Linked DNA regions of Elephas maximus indicus. The protein of the gene in region 1 purifies or fractionates together with the protein of each later gene. This does not show direct contact. Links are inferred from orthologs where the notes say so. Each region holds a gene or a part of one and is shown on either strand. Other genes may lie near its edges.

Evidence for each region.
Region 2: the proteins of FOXM1 (region 1) and MYBL2 purify together in Homo sapiens (affinity purification with western blotting; 3 studies listed by BioGRID and IntAct, with this or other methods). This does not show direct contact. The link is inferred for Elephas maximus indicus from reciprocal best matches to the Homo sapiens genes FOXM1 and MYBL2.

Annotation. Positions count from the first base shown.
Region 1 is NC_064822.1:59,069,977-59,078,095, reverse strand, and holds the start of FOXM1 (forkhead box protein M1), read left to right. Parts: upstream 1-5,022; 5' UTR 5,023-5,255; intron 5,256-5,457; exon of another isoform or gene 5,458-5,596; intron 5,597-7,342; 5' UTR 7,343-7,389; coding exon 7,390-7,891; intron 7,892-8,119. Other genes in the region: RHNO1 (RAD9, HUS1, RAD1-interacting nuclear orphan protein 1), read right to left, coding at 190-357. UniProt on the Homo sapiens protein: Transcription factor regulating the expression of cell cycle genes essential for DNA replication and mitosis. Plays a role in the control of cell proliferation. Also plays a role in DNA break repair, participating in the DNA damage checkpoint response.
Region 2 is NC_064843.1:25,661,422-25,669,481, forward strand, and holds the start of MYBL2 (myb-related protein B), read right to left. Parts: upstream 3,023-8,060; 5' UTR 2,818-3,022; coding exon 2,798-2,817; intron 1-2,797. UniProt on the Homo sapiens protein: Transcription factor involved in the regulation of cell survival, proliferation, and differentiation. Transactivates the expression of the CLU gene.

The DNA.
Region 1 (8,119 bases):
TCAATTTGAAACGAGAAAAGGAGATGTACCAGAGAAGATGTCTGACGATGGACAAAGAGAGTGTATGGCCTCTTTGTCCCTATCTACCATAAATCTTATTTTTTGGAAGCCCTTGTTCAAGACCAGAAGAGGCGGCATTGTGAGAAGCCTAAGAGAGTAAAAGTCAAAGTAAGGATACCAGGGGCCTACCCAGGATGTGATGGTGTTGTGGTCAATGGGCTTGCTGGGCACCTGTCTAGTGTGACTGATGGGAAGCTGTGGAGATCCACAGTGGTGTTTGGGGCCCTCCAGTGGTTGTTGGTGGAATAGCAGTGGGGCTTTCCGAGAATGCTGGCTGCGTTTTTTTCTGGGCGGCATCAATAGGTGAATGAAGAGCAGTAAGTAACCACATGATGCTGGCTGCAATCAGGTACTGGGACACACTCCAATTCCAGCCAATGCCTGCAGAGAAGAAACAAAAGCCGGGAGGAAAATAACTCAGATGATGCCCCAGCTCTGCCAGCTAATTTTACTATAAACTACTACCCGCACCTGAAGATTGTGGGGAGCATAGCTTCCTACACCTACCCCACCAAGCAAAAACACAGTAGTTCCTATTCAACAACATTCATCCCGTGAACATTTACTAAGCATGTGTTAAACACCATGCTGGGTAGTGAGAATTAAAAGATGAATAACCATTGGTTTGACAGTGCGGACCACTCATAAGGATACAAGGGTCTGATCGTTGCTATCTTCAAGAAGCTGAGTCTAGTGGGGGAGACCAAAAATTACAGTACAAAATGAGAAGAATGTTTCCACTCTCTTCAGGGGAGGCCTCCAGGAGAGGGAGATACCTGGCCTAGGCATGGAAAGAAGAAGCAAAGAAGGGCACTCCTGCTGAGGAACAGCGTATACAAGGGCACACGGACAGGAGGTATTGTGAATTAAGGGAATCACAAAATCAATATAGGTGGACACAGGGTATAAGGAGATGAATGGCAAGAATTGAAGCTAGACATGGAGTCAGAGATCAGAAAAATAAATTGTGCTATATGAGCTTGGACTTTAGCCTGAGAAGTCATTGAAAATTTTCAAGCAGAACGGTATGATTACATGTGGCTTTTTTTTTTCTAATTTAACTTTTTACCCCAAATAGTTTTAAACATACACAAAAGTAAACTGAATAATATAATGAGCCCCCACGTACCATCAGCCAGCTCCAAAATCCATCAACGCATGACCAGTCCTGACCCATCCACACTCCTATCCATTTTCTCCACCCCTTCATTATTTTGAGGCAAATACAATATTCCCAGTCATCCTATCGTTCCCATAAATGTAATTAAAATATATATATAAATTCCTTAATATCATCAAATAGCCAGTTTTCAAATTTTCAATTGTCTTAAAAATGCCATATTTGTGTTTTTTGTTTGTTTTTGTCTTTTAGACAGATCATCCTGGCTACAATATGAAAGGAGAGTATCTTAGTCACCTAGTACTGCCATAACAGAAATACCACAAGGGGATGGCTTTAACAAAGAGAAATTTATTTCCTCACAGTATAGTAGGCTAACAGTCCAAATTCAAGGTATCAGCTCCAGGGAAAGGCTTTCTCTTTCTTTCTCTGTGGGCTCTGGAAGAAGGTCCTTGTCTTCAATCTTCCCATGGTCGAGGAGCTTCTCCGGTGCAGGGATCCCAGATCCAATGGATGTGCTCTGCTCCTGGTGCTGCTTTCTTGGTGGTATGAGGTCCCCAACTCTCTGCTTGCTTCCCTTTCCTTTCATCTCTTGAGAGATAAACGGTGGTGCAGGCCACACCCCAGGGAAACTCCCTTTACCTTGGATCAGGAAGGTGACCTGAGTAAGGGTGGTGTTACAAATCTCACCCTAATCCTCTCAACATAAAATTATAATCACAAAATGGAGGACAACCACATAATACTGGGAATCATGGCCTAACCAAGTTGACAGAGAGGAAGAGTACTCTGGAGATAAGGGGATCAGTTAGGAGGTTACTGTGTCATCCAGGAGAGAAGTGATGAGGATATGAACCTGAGCTCTGTCAGTAGAGGTGGGAGGCTGGAGACAGATAAGGCCAACAGGACCAGAAAGTAATAAAAAGTCACACAACAGAGCAGATTGTTTCCACTATACATTCATGAGTCAGAAAATTAACATGATCTGATTTATATCACTAGGCAGTAGAGAATCAGGGGAAGAAGGAGAAAAAAAGGACAAAGTCCCCACCTACCCTCAAGGAACTAACATTTCAGGGAGAGCACAAATAATGAACACATCCATTTGTTCATTCATTCATTCAACAAACACTTACGAATGCCTACTATATGCCAGGCACTGTTCCAGGTACTGGAAATATATACCAGAGAACAGTATAAAATCCCTGCCCACATGGTGCTTTAAATCTGAGAGCAATCAGTTAACTCAACTCTTCATTCTGTTTGATTTTTTCAGTGGAAAGTGATAAGCAGTAGGAGAAAAATCAAACAGGATAAGGGGTTGAGCTGACTGAGTGCTATTTTAGATCAGGTTGTCAGGGAAGGCCTATCTGAAGAGGTAGCATTTGAACAAAGTCCTGAATGAAAAAAGAACAAGCAAGCAATGGAAAGATATGAATGAAGAATGCTGAACTCTGAGAGAATAGTAAATGCAAAGACCCTGAAGTGGGACTATTTCTGACCTGTTCAAGAAACAGTAAGGTCAGGGTCACTGAACTCAAGAGTAGTTAAAAGATGAGGTAGTAGAAAGGCAGGAACCAGTTCATGTGACACAGGGCTTTGTAGGCTAGGATTAGATTTTATTCTTAGTGTGATAGGAAGTCACTGAAAGGCCCTGGACAGGAAGTGACATAAGCTGATTCAGAGTGTCAAAAGATAACTCCAGGTACTTTGCGAGGAAAGCCTGGTTGGGAAGAGAGGGGTGGAGAAAGGAAGCAGGGAGTCCAGTTAGGCTACTGCAGGAGTCCAATGGAGACAGAGATAATGGTAGCAATGGCCAAGGTTAAAGGTTTGAAATTAATGACTTGCTGAAATTCACCATCAAATGGGCCTACTGCCTTGCCCAGCAATCCTACTATGATTCCCTGATCAACTCTCCACAAAGATTATCTTAAGTTTTTTCCACTTGCTAAGACTTCTGAACTCCTCTTCTCTCAACAGATGACCTTACGTCCTACTTCACAAAGAATACAGAAGCCACCAAAGGAAATACTCTCATTTTCTAGAAATCAACCACACAAACCTATGCATAGCTGCATCCATCCTCTTTCTCTCAGCTGTAGAGGTGCTGTCAGTCCCTTCTGCAGTCTAAGGCCTTTCCCTCCACCTATGCTTTGGCACCCTTCTCACTCATACACTTTTCTTGTGCAATCTCACTCGCTCATATTTTAATTTCTGCCTACTGTACACATTCAGTTTAGAATTCTCTAAGCTCAGGACCCATATACCCATTGTCTACTTGACAGCAACTAGGTGCCTCAAATGTACCTGAAACTCAACATGTTTAAAACTGAACTCATCATCACCTCCCACCTCCAGGGCCCTGTCTCAGCAAATAGTACATGCTTCATCCAGTTATGCAGCCAGAAACCTGCCACTTCCCTCTCCCCGCCTCCTTCATCCAACCCAGCACCAAGTCCTGTCAATTTTACCTCTTAAATTTGTCTTCAATAATCGTCTCTTTCTCCCCCTGTCTTCACCCCTTCCCCCCTTCTTCAAGCTCCAACCAGTTCTCCCATGGAGTATCACGACAGCCTAACTGGTCTATCCTAATCCACTTAAAAATGTGCAATTTAAAAAATGGAAGTTTGACCATGACTCACTGATGCTTAAAACTTGATTGGCTTTCTTGAGTTTTTGGATAAGGACACAACTCAGTATGGCTAGGCTCTGCTTTCTCTTGCTCCAGCTTCATCTCACACCACGCTTCACTCAGGTCTGTTAGCTCGAACTTCTTAAACAAACAAACAAACCCATTGCCACTGAGTCAATTCCAACTCGTAGCAATCCTACGAACTCCTTAGATTACAGATATTTTTCCGACTTCATACTCACCATGTGTCCTTCACACTCACAGCCTTTGCACACTTCATTCTCTCCCTCTACTTAGAGGGCTTCCCTCCCTTTTTTGCACAAAGGCATCAGATCTCACATCAAGCTTCAATTCATCAGAAAACCCTTTCTTGACCTACATAACTCAAGACCTCATTACAGATACTCAAAGTATCATTTACCTCTACCACTTCACAGCTATAATTCTACATTTGATGATGTTTGTGATGCCAGCCCCTTTCCCCAGTTAGTCTGGTAAGCCCATGAGACAGAAAACTGTCTACCATTGTATTCCCAGGGCCTATCACACTGCCTGGCACATAGTAGGTGCTCAGCAAACATTTGTTGAGTAAGTGAATAAAGCACTTTAGTCCATTATATCAAAAAGCTTGGCTGGCAGTGGAGACAAACAGGAGACAGGTCAGTAGTTGAAGATTTAGAGTTGAGGGAGAATTTATTTGTGTGTTTTAAGATGCAAGACACTTGGACAAGGTTATGTGCTACCCTTGAAGAACTCTCAGTCTAGTTGGGGGTACCAGAGGATCGGTAATCGGAGGTGAATGGACTACAATTTCCCCCCATTAGGATATCAGTTAAAACAGACCTTTAAAGAGGGTATGGAAATCCTGAGAGGGGTAGCGTGGAGGGTGGGAAAGCGGCAGAAGCAGGCCGAGAGGGGCCGTGTCCCAGTCACCACCATCTTCCCGCGTCCCCTCACAGTCTCTCCGCTCCCCCCACCCCAACCGCAGGGCCCCCCTCTCGCTCCTTCCCGCTCCCACCGCCCCCTCTGAGCCCACAGGAGCCTTCTCCCTTCGGGCCGGTCCCGGGCTTCTCTTACCCGCCCGGCAGGGTCAGGGCCGCGTCTCCTCTCAGGTCTCCACGGCTTCGAGCCCGGAACTCGGAGACAAGGGCCGGCGCCGATTGGCGACGCCCCGTCACGTGACCGCAACGCTCCGCCGGCGCCAATTTCAAACAGGGGAACAAACTGAAAGCTCCGGTGCCGGACCCCACCCCCGGCCCCTGGCCCGGGACCCCCTCCCCTCCCGGGATCCCCCGGGATTCCCCACCCCTCCCGCACCGTCGGGGACCTGGCCGGCCTGGCGCGAGTCCCTATCCGGGACCCTGGCTCGGCCCCCAGATTGGAGGAGCCCGGAGTCCGCCCTAGGAGCCTCACCCCAGCAGCGGCGGAGGCTGCAGTCGGGAGGTGAGCTGGGCAGAGGAATGGAGGCTGAGGCCGGGCCTGGGCAGAGGCAGGGAGCAAGGTCTCTGGCACCGCTTCCGTAAGTCCTCCGGGCGAGGAAGTCAGGGAGTCTAGCAATAGGGTGCGGGACAGGAGTGGAGGTTTGGGACCACACGGGGAAGGAGGTCTGAGTAAGGGTGCAAATTTTTTCTGCATCCAACCTCTGGTCTCGGCCTTCTCACTTATTTCTCTAAGCACCACTTGGCTTTTACTGGAAGTGTGACCTCTGTACCCTGCATCAGGAGGGCTGAGGTGGCCTACCAAGTGTGAATCGTGGCTGAACTGAAGACTGAGCTTATTCTCCAGTAAGTGAAAGATCAACCCACACACACTCCCCTGCTCTCAGGCGCTCTCACCACTAGGCAACACTGCCTCCACCCTACTCTTACAGGGCCCTTCTCCTGGTTGTTGAGAATCTAGCAAGGTTTCCCTGGTCAGGATGGGGTTACTCTGGAAGTCACCGGGCTAGAAAGTGTTGTTGGCAATACTAGGAAGAGGCTTGTCAGGCTAGAAAGTGTTGTTGGCAATACTAGGAAGAGGCTTGTCAGGGAGTAGAAGAGAAAATTAAGACTTAGACCAGGAAGAAGATATTTTGGAGGAAGGGGAAGATAATAGCTACTGGCTGATGGGAGGAAGGAGGGGAGGAGGCCAGGAGAGATATGAGGTGGAAGTAAAACTGAGATTTGAAGGTAAAGGAAACCTAGATATATAGGAAGGGGAAGAGGCAAAGTGGGAAAGGCCTGTGAATTCTAAGCAGATGGCACCAAAAAAGCAGATGGCAAATGTCATACAAATGTGTCAATCATTTTTCGGGAGATAGCAGATGTCCTAAAAGAGACAGCCAATTTCCCTGTCTCTCAAAGTACCTCTAAATAGAATTACACAATTTTGCATAAACTGGCAGAGTATTTCATGTAGCTATTAAAAATTAACAAAGCACAATTTTTCTCCCCAAGAGAAAAACTACCCTCCTCAGCATTACAAAGCTCCCTTAGCATATTGGTGATAGTCCATTCTAGGAATCAGGAGATAAGGTTTATCCTCTTTGTTCTGGAAGAGAAATTAATACAGTAACATGCTTAGAAATCTAAAATAAAGATAAGCACATGCAAGTACTAATACTGTCACTGCGTAAGTATTTTGTAAACTGAAAGAAAAATACTCTTTTTATTAATGCAACCAAAAACCAAACCCATTACCATCGAGTCTTTTCCAACTCATAGCAACCCTATAGAGCAGAGTGGAACTGCCCTGCCCCATAGAGTTTCCAAGGAGCACCTGGTGAATTCAAACTGCTGACCTTTTGGTTAGCATCTGTAGCTCTTAACCACTACGCCACAGGGTTCCCTTATTAATGCAAGGATAATGATAATGTAGCCTGTAAAATGAATGGCACCCGCTAGAGTTGTGCAGTGCACAATCTGCACAACTTCACCATGGCCCTTAAATAGAGCAAGGGTTGCCTGCAAGCTTTTTATCTGAGCCCTTGTGAACTAGGAGATGATTTCTCCAGTGCTACGGCAATAGTGCAATATGCCTCTCTCCCCTGATTCTGTGGGCACTGATCCTATTTTTTACAGAGTAGAATTACATAAAAATATAAAGGCTCTATCCTAGAATGGATTATGGCATTAGAGTTTTGTTGGGACTATATATCACCATATGCCTTCCTATTCCAGCATCTCCCATCCCTGTCCCTCCAGTCATAGCAAGTAATGTGTATTATAATTTCTACATTTTGTGGCTATCTCACTTGTTTCTGTAGCCAAGCATTCTTAAGCTTCCAGCAGGAAGTCTTTGGCTGTCTTGACCCAAATCCAATCCAGTTCCACTTTCCCCCTTTGAATTGCTTCTGTTTGCTTCAGTTTTACCTTTCTTTAGTCAGTGGATTTCATCTTAGTATTGGAGGTAAGCCTCTACAAAGGTCAGGGAGCATTACCTGGGCCCTTAGGCTCATACTTCTGGCCATAAAAATAGGAATGCCTCTCTAAGAGAAGCTCCTTCTCAGCCTAACAAATCTCTGATATCCTGCTCCTCCTTATACTTTCCAGGGTCCATGCTTGTGATTCTCAATGGAGAGTGAAAGCACAGATTCATAATGAAAACCAGCCCCCGTCGGCCACTGATTCTCAAAAGACGGAGGCTGCCCCTTCCTGTTCAAAATGCCCCAGGTGAAACATCAGAGGAGCAACCTAAGCAGTCCCCTGCCCAACAGGAGCCTGGCCAAGCACAGGCCTCCAAGGAGGTGGCAGAGTCTAGCTCTTGCAAGTTTCCAGCTGGAATCAAGATTATTAACCACCCTACCATGCCTAACACCCAAGTGGTGGCCATCCCCAACAATGCCAATATCCAGAGCATCATCACAGCACTGACCGCCAAAGGAAAAGAAAGTGGCAGCAGTGGGCCCAACAAGTTCATCCTCATCAGCTGTGGGGGAGCCCCCACTCACCCTCCAGGACCCCAGCCTGTAACCCAAGCCAGCTGTGATTCAAAGAGGACAGAAGTGATAACCGAAACCCTGGGACCAAAGCCTACAGCTAGGGATGTGAATCTTCCTAGACCTCCTGGAGCCCTTCCGGGGCAGCGATGGGAGAGCTGTGGTATGTGATCTGCAAGGCAAAGGGGTGAGGAGCCCAGCCTTTCTTCTCTGGTGGCAAGGTCTGCAGTCAGTCGTATTGATGCTTATAACAGACAGGTGTGCAGCCTGAACCAAGTTTCCTCACCCAGTAGCTTTGACCATATCCTCTGGGCACCATTGAAAGCATTGTGATTATAATTTAGCATTTCTATTGCCTTCTTTATATTGGAAAAGAACTTATTATTTCTAT
Region 2 (8,060 bases), on another chromosome or scaffold:
TTTTAGTAAATTCAGAGTGATGCAACCATCATGTAGTCAATTTTAGAACATCTTCATCACCCCACAAATTCTGTACCCCTTAACTGTCACTCCCCAATAAATAAATCTATTCCCCCCATGCACTTAAGAAGCCCATGCACTTGGCAACCATTAATTGACCTTCTTTCTCTATAGACCAGTTTTGTTTTTTGAAGCGCATAAAACTGAAAACCACATGTCTATAGAAATAAAATGAAAAATTAACTAGTAGCATTTTCTTCAAAGGAGTTTTATACCACAATTACATGACATGGTGGACTATCACATTAAAATACGTATGTTGACAGGAGAAGCCAGGCACAAAATAATATATACTACATATCGAACCCTCGGAAACCCTGGTGGCATAATGGTTAAGTGCTACGGCTGCTAACCAAGAGGTCGGCAGTTCAAATCTGCCAGGCACTCCTTGGAAACTCTACGGGGCAGTTCTACTCTGTCCTATAGGGTCACTATGAGTCAGAATTGACTGGACAGCAGAGGGTTTTTACATATCGAACCCAGTAACTGCTCCTCAGGAGAAAGATGTAGCAGTTGGCTTCTGTAAACTTTACAGTCTTAGAAACCTTAGGGGGCAGTTCTCTGTCCTAAGGGTCGCTACAAGCCAGAATTGACAGCACACAACAACTTTTACAGGAGATTGCCACTTCTTTCTCCCTTGAAGCTACTGGGCAGGTTCAAACTGCCAACCTTTGGGGTAGCAGCCGAGCACTTTAACTGTTGTGCCACCAGGGCTCCTCTACTGCAAAGTAGGAGGCAATACATCTACAAGACACTGTAACAGAATGACGCTGGCTTTAAAATGAACTGCCCCAGACTCATCACTTAGGGGACGCTAAGCTTCTGCTGAAAGTGTTCGAAAAATTTGGGAACGGATAATGGTGATGGTTAAACAACATGACGAATGTAATTAACGTCACTGAATTGTACCTAAAAAAATGTTGAAATGACAAATGTTTTCTTACATACATATTTTCCATAATTAAAAAAATACATACAGGACAAAAAAAGCCCAACTGCCCTCAGACTCCTCACTGACAGAAACATCTACTTCTAACAGAAGCTCAGCCAACGTGTCTTCAGGGAGAAAAGGGTGCCTGTGTGGACACTCTTCTGGTGTGTCAAGGCTCTGTTAAATGCGGACATCTCAGACAGCTGGGAGAACCTAGTGAGGTATATCCATCATCCACATAGTGCTGGCCATCTACTCCCCAGGCACTGTCATTATCCCCATTTAATAGGTGTGGAAACTGAGGCTCACAGGGTTCACTTTCCACGTCCACACAGCTAGGCCCAGGACCTCAACTCTGCACCTTTAAGTCCTCACCTTTAAGTCCTCACCTGTAAATCCCAGCTAAAAAAGCAGAGGCCAAGTTAATGGTGGCAACTGCTTTCCCTGCAACACACCCTTTCTTTTGCCCTTCAATGTGCTGGGCTCTGCTCCAGGGCCAGGGTGAGTCAGAGGCTGAGCAGGAACTGGGACACTGGGGCAGAGGAGAGTTACAGTGAGTGGCCAAGAAATAAGTTGAGGGTTTGGGGTTCCAGGGTACAGGCCCCATCCCTAACATGGGAGGGGTCCCTCCACTTAGCCCCAGGGGAGAACTGGTGGAAAACCTGGGGATCAGAGGACCTGGACATCATGTGGGGGCAGCCATCACTGGAGTAACACTTCCAAGGGACCTGAGCTGCCCTGGTAAACTGGCCTGAGGAAGACAGTCCCTGTGGCAGGACTACGGGCCCTGAGGACCAAACCTGAGCATACTTCTGCATTGAGAAGGACTCGGGAAAGCTGGCAGTTATGGAGTCACAGGTCTACATCTTCGGCCTGAGAAGGCAAACACCACCATCTGAAGAGGGGCCTGGGGTTATCTGGGCTGCTGGTATCCAGGGAGGGAAGAGGGCAGGACCCCACTGTTCTCCATGACTCCCAGAGCTCAGGCCCCAAATGAAGGGGCACTGGGGCCCACAGACTTGGCTCCAGGATCGACTCTGCCACTTAATTCTCTGGGGACTAAGTAAAATGGAGACCACAGCCCCTGACTTTGCCCCAGGGGCCAGTGGCACAGAGCAGTCTTGATACATACACCTCAGTCTCTCTTTCCCCCACCTTCAATTTCAGCTCCAAAACTCCTAGGGTAGAACACAAAGAGAGCTCTCCAAAACTAAACCAAGCTGGGGCACAGAGCCCAGGCTGGGGAGACAAAAGAGCCCCCTCCCCAGCACCCTTCTCAGACGGAGGGAGGGGGCTTAGAGGGCTTGAAGTGCTGTGCTTCCCCGAATGTTGGGGGAAAAGGCCCAAGGGGGAAGTCTGAACCAAAACTGAGGCTTGAACGACAAGTGTCTTTCAGGCTTTGGCCTCCTACTCGTCGTGAGTTGGGGAGACATTTTCCCTCCCCGGGGGGCACCTCCCTCCCCCTGTAAAGGCCCTTCCAGCTGACACCGGCCGTCCCACCCCCACACCGCAATTAGGCGGGAGACAAAATGACATCATGCAGGGCCTGGCCCGGGCCCCGGGAGACCCGCCCGCCCCGGCTCAGACACCGAGCAGGCCAGGGGAGCGGAGCGAGGGGTCCCAAGGGACCCATGGCTTTATGCGCGCGCCCCTGCCTCGGGCCGCCCAGGACACAGCATTTCCTGAGGAACCCCCCAGACGCCCCGCGCGAAGGGGCCACGGCGAGGTGGAGTGGAACGAGGTGTGGGTGGCGGTGGGGGTGGAAAGGGGGTAGGAAGGGCCCTCAGCCCACCCAGCTCCGCTCACCCGCGCGTCCGCCGAGACATCCCCCCAAGTCGCGCTGCGCCCGCCGGCTCGCCAGCTGAGCCCGGAGCCGGAGCCGCAGCCGGGCCGAGGCCGGGGCCAGGACACTAGCTGCTCCGGCCGCTCCGGGCCCCGGGCCGCGCTAGGTTCGGTCAGCGTGTCCTCAGGTTCCGCCGTCCGCGCGCTGGAGCTACGGCCGCGGCCGGCGCGCACAGAAGCACTTTCCTATCTCGCGCCAAGCGCGTCGGCGCCTCCCGGGCCTGGCGCGCGGGCGGGCAGACGTGCGCAGGGGCGGGGCCTGGGCGGGGCCTGTGTGGGGCCTGGGCGGGGCCAGCGGGGGCGGGGCTGGCGCTGCACAGGCCCAGAGGTTCCATGATGACAGGGGCCGCGGTGGCGACTTAGGAGATGGGACTTGTGAGCACCATATGACTGAGCGGGTTCAAGTCAAGTATTGGTCTGGGACGGCCCACACAGCAAGGACTGTCAAAAAGGAGTGAGGGGCAAGGATGGAAAAGTCAGGCTGGGAAAACCACCTGTGCAAAAACCCCAGGGCTAGTCGAAGCCTCGCTTCTCCGGGTCGCTACAGCCCCGCCCTAAAATGGCCCCCTTAATCCTACCTGTACCTTCCTGCTTTCTCTGCAGCCTCGAATTGGCGGCCCGAGTGACACTTCTGAAATACAAACTTCACTTAGTCTCTCCTGAACTTAAGACCCTTTCTTCTCTCCCTCGGGATAAATTCCTTCCTACACAATCAGGCTCATAGCCTCTGCCTGAATCATCACCCACCCCACCCCACCCCCGCTGAAAGAAGTTTCCTGCCTCCTTGCCTTTGCTTGCACTATTACCCCTCCCACCTAATTCTTACTTATCCTTGAAGTCGGCTGTCCATAACCAGCTGTTGACTTGTGCATTTCCTCCTTTAAACTTTGAGCATCTTGGAGTCCAAAAGGCCTCTGAATCCACCCCAGTATCCCTAGAGCCCAGACAAGGCCTAGCATAGGAGGTCCCAGGTATGTCTGTTGAGTTGAATTCTATTTACGAAGTGCTTAAACTCCGAGAGGCTTAGCAAGGATTTTCCATTTTAAGTTGACGCTTACCAAGAACCTACTTCTTATCATGCCCACGCTGGGCTTCCTGGGAGATGTGCTGAGATGAAGGTGAAACAACTATGAGGCAGGAGCTTGGGGAGACCTGGCTGAATCCCAGCCTCAGTCCCTACTTATGCCACAGATCCCACATCCAGAAACTGCTGGCCACCTGGGGACAGTCTAGCCAACCGATGCAAACTTCATTTACCACAGCAGAAGGATGTTAAGTACTAAAACCAAAAACCAAACCCGTTCCCGGCGAGTCGATTCCGATTCATAGCGACCCTATAGAACTGAGTAGAACTGCCCCTCAGAGTTTCCAAGGAGTACCTGGTGGACTCGAACTGATGACCTTTTGGGTAGCAGCCATAGCACTTAACCACTACGCCACCAGGGTTTCCAAACATATTAAGTACTAGAAGCTTTCATAGTACTTAATTCATAAAGTAATTTATTTGGGTATCCCCTCTTCATTGCTACACCGTAACATTTATGAGTGTAAGCTCTACAGCTAGACTGCCTAAGGTTTGAATCCCAGCTCCACTGCTTCTCGTTGTTAGGTGCCATTGAGTCAGCTCCGACTCATAGCGACCCCATGTACAACAGAAGGAAACACTGCCCAGGCCTGTGCCATCCTCCCAATTGTTGTTATGCTTGAGCCCACTGTTGCAGTCACTGTGTCAATCCATCTCATTGGGAGTCTTCCTCTTTTTTTGTAGGCCCTCTACCAGTTCCTGGAGCTCTACTACTTACTAGGTGTATTTACCAAATTACTTAACTCTTCTGTGCCTCTGTTTCCTCATCTATAAAAACAGGATTTATCAAAAAATTTAGATAGTTCTATAGGATGTACCACCTAGTGTTCTGTGTGCTTTGTAAATATTAACTCATTTAATCATTACAACTCTATGAGGTAAATATTAATATCGTCACCTTTTGGAATATGGGGAAACTGAGGCACAAACTTCCTGAAGGTCACACAGCTAGCAAATGGAAGAGCAGAGATTCAAACATAGGCTATGTAGCTCTAGAGTCTATGCTCTTAATCACTACACTGGTACCTACTTTGTAGGGTTATTACAGGATTAAATAAATGAATATGCATAAATCACTGAGAACAGTCCTTGACATATAATAAGTACTGTTACTTCTGGAAACCCTGGTGGCGTAGTGGCTAAGAGCCATAGCTGCTAACCAAAAGGTCAGTAGTTTGAACCCACCAGGTACTCCTTGGAAGCTGTATGGGACAGTTCTACTCTGTCCTATAGGGTCACTATGAGTCGGAATCCACTCAAAGGCAACTGGGTTTTTTTTGTTTGTTTGTGTTACTTCTGGAGCCCTGGTGGTGCAGTGGTTAAGGGCTACAGCTACTAACCAAAAGGTCAGCAGTTCAAATCTACCAGCCGTTCCTTGGAAGCCCTATAAGGCAGTTCTACTCTGTCCTATAGGGTCACTATTGACTTGGAATCAACTGGATGGTGGCGGTTTTGGTATGTTACTTCTGTTATTATTATTAATAGGATTTTTCAGCTACCCTCACACTTGTCCTTTGAGGTCCAGGAAGCCCTTTTGCACACAGCACACATTCTCACATGGACAGGGAGGGCCAGGACCTGACAGCTCCCACAAGGTATTTGCCCAAGGCAAGAGGCAGGGAGCAGTTGCAGAGTCAACCTGGAACAAGCAATTGGGGCCACTTGACTAGTACATAGGAGCTGAAGAGCCTGCAGTCAGTGCTGGGAGTCAGGCAGCAGAGAGATCACCTGATGCCAGATGGAATCTGGTGATCTCCACAAGTCTGTCCTCTCCAGTTATCATTGTACCAACAGACACTCCCTGGAGAGAGGACTCCCAGTGTTCTGGGTGCAGCCACACCTGGGAGTGGTGGCTGGGCCAGGGACTGATAACAGACTGCAGCTTTTCCTGGACAGTCCCTTATTGGACAGGGAGCCTTCAGCCATTTGATCTTTCCCCAGTGCCCCTGGAGGCTCAATCTGCCCCACCCTGGGCTCCAGACCCAGAGCTTGCCCATGTTGGGAAGTCAAGGATTAAATGTACTTTTAAATGCTCAGGCCCAGCACCAGGCAGTACACAAAATAAACACTGATTGATAACAAGTAAATGATAAGTGGTATCACATGGCCCTTCAGCCTGGGTTCATCCCCTCTCTACTACTAAGCATTCTCATCTTTGTCCACCCATCGCACTTCCTCCGCCCATAATTTTATTGCTGTTTTGAACAGGGGCAACACGCATTCGTATTTTTAGTTTCAGATCTTTACCATAATGCTTGGCCCCTGGCAGGTACTCAAGAAAGGAGTTTTACACATTTTCAAGAAAATGAATGAATGAAATGTTATCAAGCTAACATTTGGGCTGGAGAGTTGGGAAGACACAGGCCAGAACTGAGAGGATTTAGAATGGTAGAGTTTGAACTGTATCTTGTAAGATATGGGACATCAGGAGAGATTTTGAAACAAAGGCATGATTTTCAGGATACTTCTGAACCCCCTGTCTTAGGCTGGGTTCTCTAGAGAAGCAAACTAGTGAAGTATATATGTATGTATGTATGTATATACATATATGTAGAGAGAGAGAAAGAGAGATTTATCTCAAGGAAATGGCTTATGCAGTTGTAGAGGCTGGGAAGTCCCAAGTCCGTGGGTCAGGCGTCAGATTGGAAGCTTCTACGGACTCACGTAGCTGCAGGGGCTGAGGAACCCAAGATCAGCAGATCAGGTAGCAGACTGCTGGCTCAGGGGCTGCAGAGGCTGATGAATCCTAAGGTTGGCAGGCAATACAGCAGGCCACCGGCTCAAGTCCCAAGAACCAGAGGTCAGATGATGATGTGCCAGATGCAGGACCCAAAGTGAAGCAAAAGCCGGTGACCTTCTCCAGGATGCAGGCCACACCCCCAAAGAAACTTCCCTTACAACTCACTGGCTGATCACATCAGATCACATCAGGAAGATAATTACATTATATCACAAAATGGAGGATAACTACATCATTACATAACTGCCAAACCACTGAGAATCATGGTCTAGCCAGGTTGACACACAACCTTAACCATTACACCCTCCACCTTGGGGGATCAGTATAGTGGATGGACTCACAGAAGCCAAGTGGGCACTGGCATGAGAGGCCAAGGACCAGGACAGGAAATGTGGCACTTTGTACAAAAGAGTGGATTCCAAAGGAAGGAAAGCAATTCAATTACCTGATTCAAGGAATCAGAGCTCTAGGGAGAAAATGCCCCCATTTACTTCTGAAAAGATTGAGGTTTATGTGAATAACTATTTGCAAAGCACTTACATTTGAGTTTGAGAAAAGGACCAATAAAGTATTCAGGTCATAAAATAATACCTCATTTTACTGGGGGACACTCCATGAGTCTGCCAGTCACCACACTAAGAGGTTTACATCCATTTTGCATTTAATCTTCACCACAATGTGAGGCAGGTACCATTACCCATTAACCTGTTGCCGATGAGTCGATTCCAACTCATAGCAACTCTAAGGGACAGAGAGTAGAACTGCCCCATAGGGTTCCCAAGCAGCATCTCGTGGATTCGAACTGCCAACCTTTTAGTTAGCAGCTGTAGCTTTTAACCATTAGGCAACCAGGGTTTCCAAAACACTATTTTTTCATTTTTTCCCCATTTTAAAGAAAACTGAGGCATGATGATATTAAGTTGTGAGGATCACACAGCTAGTGGGCCGGTAGCTGAACACTTAAAACACTAAGCACCCACAATTGAAATGTAAACTTGGAGAATAGTTTGTAAAAATATGCTAAAATGGTTGAGGCTGGGCTGCAGCTGGGGGCTGAGCATACTGAGAAAATCCAACCGCCCATACTTTCCAGAAGTTCACCAGCTAGTAAAGGAGACAAGGTGTAAGCAGAAAATTAGCTCAATAAAGGTGAGGATAAACTGCAGGACCTATGGGTACCCACCCAAGGGGGGTCACTAAAGGTTCTTCAGAGCTGGATAACTTAGGAATTTGACAACCTGGAGAATGGCACTTCAGGGAGAAGGGACAAGGAAGATTAGGAAGTATTTAGGGACTGGGAAGAAGCTGAGGTCATTCTTGATGTTTCTTCTTACACCACTTAATCTGATCTGCAAATTCTATTCCCTCTACCCTCAAACTGTACCTTTAAAATATATCCAGTG